Linked DNA regions of Danio rerio. The main gene of each other region encodes a partner of the protein of the gene in region 2 in a complex. Links are inferred from orthologs where the notes say so. Each region holds a gene or a part of one and is shown on either strand. Other genes may lie near its edges.

What was found.
Region 1: the proteins of pi4kb (region 2) and acbd3 are in contact, whole or in part, in an NMR structure (PDB 2N73), measured with the Homo sapiens proteins. The link is inferred for Danio rerio from reciprocal best matches to the Homo sapiens genes PI4KB and ACBD3. Residues at the interface, in NP_001317650.1 of Homo sapiens: Val37, Gly38, Val42, Ile43, Asp44, Pro45, Val47, Ala48, Gln49, Lys50, Ala51, Cys52, Glu54, Val55, Leu56, Val59, Lys60, His63; in NP_073572.2 of Homo sapiens: Gln245, Ile246, Ala249, Leu250, Gln253, Thr254, Gln257, Phe258, Tyr261, Gln265, Tyr266, Leu276, Leu280, Gln283, His284, Gln287, Tyr288, Gln291, Leu292, Val295.

The regions. Positions count from the first base shown.
Region 1 is NC_133195.1:33,505,533-33,508,698, forward strand, and holds the end of acbd3 (Golgi resident protein GCP60), read left to right. Parts: intron 1-644; coding exon 645-859; 3' UTR 860-2,590; downstream 2,591-3,166. UniProt on the Homo sapiens protein: Involved in the maintenance of Golgi structure by interacting with giantin, affecting protein transport between the endoplasmic reticulum and Golgi. Involved in hormone-induced steroid biosynthesis in testicular Leydig cells.
Region 2 is NC_133191.1:42,588,779-42,592,609, forward strand, and holds part of pi4kb (phosphatidylinositol 4-kinase beta), read left to right. Parts: intron 1-869; coding exon 870-914; intron 915-3,455; coding exon 3,456-3,683; intron 3,684-3,831. UniProt on the Homo sapiens protein: Phosphorylates phosphatidylinositol (PI) in the first committed step in the production of the second messenger inositol-1,4,5,-trisphosphate (PIP). May regulate Golgi disintegration/reorganization during mitosis, possibly via its phosphorylation.

The DNA.
Region 1 (3,166 bases), on a different chromosome or scaffold from region 2:
AGTCCACTTCTGTGAAACTGACAGTGATGAGCTGCTCTGCATGTGAAAGTTGATGATCTGTCAACTTGACACAGCATCGGTAACGGTCACACATTTCCATCAAGCACTTTTTTATATTGAAAATTAAAACAAAGAAATTCATAAATATAGTCTCCATTAAACGCAGATATGTATATTAATTAATGAATATGTTATGTAATATGAAATTACATGTTTATTAATTTTCGATTTTATGAATTGAAATAGTGATTTTATTTTACTGTACAACTTTTAAAATAATAATGTATTGATGTATTAATTATAATAATAATCATTTGAGAGCTATATTTTTAAATAATAAATATGATTATTAATTTTAAATTTAATTATATTTATATAATATTATATACATTTAATAATATTATACAATTAATTAAATTTAGACATTTAATTATATTTTATATTTATATAAAATTAAATATTTATATAAAATTAAATATATATATAAAATTAAATTATATACCTATTATATATAATAATTAAATTTTTATATACGAAGTAAATTAATTCTATTACTATTTAAATATTATGCCAGGATGTAAATATGTTTGAAGTGCATTTTTTTATTTATTGAATAAAGTGAATTCATGTTGTTTTGACCTCAGGTGAAGCCCAGTCTGAGGAAGAGAAGGCCAAGAAGGAGTCTGGGAAACCGCAGGTGGATGAGATCGTGCCGGTCTACCGGCGGGACTGTCATGAAGAGGTGTATGCTGGGAGTCACCAGTATCCCGGCCGTGGTATATACTTACTCAAGTTCGACAACTCCTACTCGCTCTGGAGGTCTAAAACCGTCTACTACAGAGTTTATTACACCAGATAAGCCTGTCAAGACTGCAGGACAGGGACGTGTGTGTATGTTGAAAGGAAGTTGAAAAGATCAAAATAAGGACATTTACAAGAAGTCCACTACTGGGGGAGGGACAAAGAGATTTAAAATGAATGCTTGTATGTATGTATGTATGTATGTATGAATGAATGTATGTATGTATGTATGTATGGATGTGTGTGTGTGTGTGTGTGTGTGTATGCAAAATTTATGAGTGTGTCTGTCATGCTGTTTGAGTCCAGGAGGATTGAGCCTCTGTTTTGCACTCTAAAAGATTTTGTGCTTGATATCACTGTCCTTAAACTCAGCGTGACTAACTTCATCTTCTAATTTCATCCAAAGAGGTGCAGGACAATTGCGTGTATACTGATTAAAGCAACCTATGATTAGAGAACAGGCAACGGAGTAAACACTAACACCTTTCTCCTGGAGGACTCCCTCATTTAGGTCAACGCTGAGTAATTCAGCCAATGGCATGCTTCTGTACATTTTTCTCCCCCAAATCAGGATGCAGGACCGCAGTGTGGGATCAAAGAAACGGAACGGACTTTTCTAACAAAGGATCTGGAGGCCTTTAACGAATGGAGATTTTCTTTTTCTTTTTTTTTCTAAACAAGATGGATTGTGTCTAAAACATTTAATATTTATTAATCTCTGTGCTAGAGTAGGGTCATGTATGTGTCTGTCAGTCTTCTAACATTTATCTTGTCTCTTCATCGTTGGATTCTACGCTTCCACAGAGCCCCTCACTTTTATTTTTTCCTATTTCGTTTGTAGTCTTCGTTTGTAGTCTTTCGTTTGTAGAAGTATTGACTTTTAACCTGCACCGCTAATAGTTTGCGATACCCTTGCCTTTCAGTTGCGTCGTTTCTTTGCTTCATGCATGCAGTTACAAACAGCCATGAAAGAACTTGCGTTTCTATTTCTCACACTTGGTTCTTCACTTCAGTAACAAGCATCTCTCATCGTCCATTATATTAATAAAGAAGTGTTTGTATAGCCGATTGATACTAACTATCAAAGTCATTTACGTTTGCTGATTAACATGTTCTGTTATTTATTGGACTGTTCAGTGCATTGAAGAATATAACTGAAAATTTTGCGGACTGTATTTTTTAGTTTTTTTTTTTTTTGCTTCGGAGATATCTGCTAAGCCACTCTGGATTTGTCACTGGCTGTGTCGTCGAGTGAAATGTGTCGCGTTTATGATTGTACGTCAAAGACTGCTATCCGACTGTGATTAAACGTTGTCCATGTATATACGGATGCTGTTACACTGTGTTCACTTGATGAATAAAGAAAGCAGTGCGTTCGGGAGTTTCAGAGCTGATGATGATGATGATGATTCAGTGTTCATGGAGAAACAGTCATGCTAAAGCTGTCCAAAGACTACATCCATGTCACATGTACAGTCGATTGCTTACAGAAGTTTCTGTGTTGTGTGTTTGCTTTGTTTTTCACATTTTGTAATGCTGATTTCGGGCCTTTTGTATAGTGAAGTGTAACATCAGGCGGACAGCTTTTTGGGGAAAAAATGCAAGAAGCCGTTGGATGGTTCATCTGAAAAATTATCTTCATATTTAAAGTGGAAAAGCCAGTGATTTGTCAGAGCGTAAAGGCATGAAGTGTTTTTGTATTGGTTTCGCTAGTGTGATCTGATGTGTATGCATTCGAGGGTGAGTGTCTTGAAGCGTATATTTGATTAAACTTGCGTTCCTCTCTGTATGTATTCCTGCTGGGTTTTTTCTGATAATGGTTTAGTTATGGGCATGTTGTACATACCCTGATGATGTTTTGCAAAATGCTCATCATCAGTTAAGGTTACAGAATCCAGGCCCGTAGCCAACCTGGTGAAAGGGCAGGTTCTTTTTTTCTCACGTGGACCATTTTGCAGATATTCACCTCATTTTATATTTAATTACGAGTTTTAAATAGGTTGCATTTTTAGTGACATTTTAGGCTGGATTAGCTTGTCGGTTGGTATCATAACCACACTTTTTGATGTACCACAAACATTTTCTAGCGATTTAGAATGAGGAAAATATGAGGAACAATACTTTTGTTTTTTTTTTAAATATAAATTTACTACACCATATATCATTAGAAAAAGAAATGGGAATCTGATAGTATTAAAATCAAAAACTAGCCTATGGTCATTAAAATATTAATTTAAATTACAAACTGGCTAGCACATTCAACTTTCCTCAGTCACCCTGAAGCGACAGCATTTCGCTTGGTGTCAAAGCCTTCTTCCATGGATTATTTTCACGATGAAAATGCATGATGGCATAGCAGTCAAAA
Region 2 (3,831 bases):
TTCTGCTAGAGATACTGTTGTCCTAAAAAAAAAACTATAAAAAATCTTACTCATACTTTAGGAACAGTATAGCACAATTTTTTTTAAAACCTCGACTTTTCCAACGGTGGTATACCTTGAAAATGGTTATCATACCATGCGAAGGATGCTGAAACAATATATTGTGCAGCCCAACTTAATATTACTGAAAGTTTTCATGTGTAGCTCTATTTTAACCAGGCATGGCATGTTCTAACCAGCTATGACTAGTGACAGTTATTTTGTTGGCATTGACACACCTACTGTAAAAACCCATTGCATGTAATTCCTGCTTTTCATTGCAGTACATTAAGCATTAAATATCTACCAATCAACAAGTTCTTTTGTTAAGCAATTCATATGATCGAGGATCATGGGGAGTGTTCACTGGGCAATTCTTGACTATTGCTAATGCTATAAATGTTTTATTCACTCTTTTGATAAGGCTTTATGATGGGTCCTTTAAATCATGCCTGATTTATGTTAATGTGTAGATGATAAAACAAATCCAGCTATGAGCTGTGGCCTTGTAGGGTGTGTGTGTGTGTATGCGCGTGTATGTGTGTGTGTGTGTGTGCGTGCGTGTGTGTGTGTCTTCTGTAATCCCTCCTCAGCTTGTCCTCAACATCAGTCGTGATGCTTTACATGGGTTTGATCAGAGCGGCTCTCAGAGATTAGTCCAGTCACCATCCACAGCTAGAGATAAACATGACACAGAAAAATTTTCAGGCCGGCCAGGCCCTACTGCTCAAACAGATGGGACGAGTGTAACCTTGAGCTGTGTTTTTTGTCTTGTTCTGACCCCTTCCACCCTCCCCTGCTCTTGCACTCCCTCCTCCTCATTTTCCCAGGATCTGAGCTCCAGCTCCGACAGTCTCGAGCTAGAGGCTGGTACAGTAAGTCTCTCACCGTCTAAAAACGCTGCTCTGTGCGTTGTGGGATGATGGCTGTGTCTGTTTGCAGGCGGGGTTGACTCCACAGATTCCTTCAAATGTGTGCCTTCAAGGTTTGCCATCATGCTATTCAGTGTCACGAAGACGGAAAACTGTGAATTTACGTGAAAAATCGCTAAATTTATTTTCATTTATAATATTGGAGAAACTAAATACATTTTATTTTGCTGTTAGCATAATTTGAGTAGTTAATTTTAACAGCATTTTGGGTGGGGAAAAAAAGTTGGTCTTTGCAAACTTTTTGTTTTAAAACAGATTTTATTATTGTAATGTTTGGGAGCCATCTTAAAGGGATAGTTTGGCCAAAAATGAAAATCACTCATCATGTACTCATCCTTGTTTCAAACCGGTTAGACTTTTATACGTCTTTCAGGGTGTCCGAGGGGTCTTAAAAAGTCTTTAAATATCTCCAATTTTAAAAACAAAATTCTAGGCCTTAAAGTTTTAAACTTACTGAAATATGGTTTTGTAGGTCTTAAATCATTTTAAACGGGTCTTAATTTTCCCTTGTCTATGTTAAGCTACTCAGTCGGTCCAACCAACAATCCATCTAAAAGGTATCTCTGTATTCAGATACCTGTGAAGGCAGGGGGAAAAAAAAGCGGAACAAAAGTTGATGGGGTGAATGACAGACAAGGAGAGGGAGAAAGCTACAAAAATCCAAAAATCTCCCACAGACTGTAACACTTCTTTTAAAAAGAAAAGATCTTTTGAAAAGTTGTAACCAATGACTTCCATAGCATTTGTTTGATGGAAACCTGTATATAGACATATCTACTATGAAAGTCAATGGTTACAGGCTCTCAGCTTTTTTTTAAAAAAAAAAAAAAAGCCATATTAATTGTGTTTAACAGAAGAAAGAAACCCATAAAGGTTTAAAACCACTTTAAGTTGTGTAAATAGTGAGAATCTTTGCCTGAGATATTCCTTTAAGTTTAGTGCAGACATTATTTTATTAATAACATAAGTTTTCTGGTGGATGTAGGCCGTTATTAGGGCTGGGTTCTTCAGAATATTATATTTTTTATTGTGAGTATATTACAGAAAATCTGAGTAATGTGTAAACTTTTTGTTAATAAACGATACTATAAATGTTATTTAATGAAGCATCTAATCTTTGTGGCTTTAGTCATTGTTTGGATACTCTTTTAAAACTAGAAGCATTAACAACTTGCATTGAATATATATATATCGTTCAATATGGAAAATAATTATCAAGATTGCGTTTTTGCAATATCGCCAAGCCCTAGCCTTTACGTTTCAAAATAAGTAATAAGACTCCATTTTGAATTGTGATATGAGCAATGTGTTCATGCGTGAACTGGTAGCATGCTTGCAAATACTTGTTCTTTGTGTGGTTGTTCTAGCTGTAGCTTTATTCAGTTAATTGGATGTGACGTTTTCTTCTCGGTTTCTTTTTCTTTTTTTTAATCAATCTTTGTGTAGGTTTTTGACTTTAATATTATTTAAATATGCGGCAGTGACATTTATTTTGGGTTCCGTGATCATCTGGAAGACCTTTGGTTTCTTATTGATTTATTTATTTATTTATTTATTTTAAACATGGCAAAGGCAAATTCTCTGTGAAGTATTTTAATTTGGTGGAAGGAGTTTTTCCTACTGGTGTTTTGGGTGTTCTTTTGCATATTTGCAAAGGATCGTGTCATTATTGGTTCTTAAAATCATTTCACGATGGCATTTGTTTCTGCAAATCTTTCGACATGGATTGCAGATATCCATGTGTCCTTTAACATCTATGAGCCACAGGTCGCACATGTGGAGGAGTTTGATGGGTCTTTCTCCACATTTTCCTGTCCTTGGATGACCTCATTTATTTGTGTTTAATACTTTTTCCTCATTTCAGGTGATGCTATCCATTCATGACTCACTTGCTTTCCCTTGTGGTCAGCTGTTGCTAAAACGCTCTCTCTCTCTCACCATTTCTGATTTGTTTTATGTCCATGCTTCACTTTGAGTTTAGAATGCTGTGCCGATCATGCATGCAGATTGTTTTTAAGCAGATTTGAGCACTGCTCCACATATTCCTGTGCTGAATAATAAATTGGTCTTGTGCAATAACTCATACATTCATAGAAATCCAGTAACTGATTTTATTTTATTAGTTCGTCCCAAAAAGAGACTTTGGTACGGTACTATTTCTGATACACAAGTATCAATTCAAAATGATGTACATGTTTATATATTTGTTTACATACACAATACCAACAATAATTTAAATACATACATAATCTGCCATGTAGTTGAGATGGGAGTTTTAGCTTAGGGAAAAATGGCACTTTTCATTATATTAGTATCGTACCATTAATTTAATGGTACTCACTTTTATTTATTTATTTTGTATCAACGTATTGTGCAACTTTTTTTAATGCTAAGTCTGCAAATCTTTTTGCATTGTGTTAAAATGTTGTTTCTCTCTTTTCCCTTCATCTTTCATTTCCTCTCTCAACTTCATTTCTCTCTCAGCCTGTGCGTCTGACCCCTCAGAGGGAGTTCATTAAGTCTCTGATGGGGATTGGAAAGAGGTTGGCCACTCTGCCCACTAAAGAGCAGAAGACTCAGAGGCTCATCTCAGAGCTGTCACTACTAAACCACAAGCTGCCTGCCCGGGTCTGGCTGCCCACTGCTGCCTTTGACCACCATGTGGTGCGCGTGCCCCATACGCAGGCCGTCGTGCTCAATTCAAAAGATAAGGTGAGGCTGTGCTTGCAGAAAAGTATATAAAAATTATAGTCTTTGGTTTTGGAAGGCCACATCCTAGACATAGCAGTTTAATTTAAACCCAGTTCACATATTTGTGGCTACTGCAGTTTATATCATCATTTTACCTGGTATTAAGATG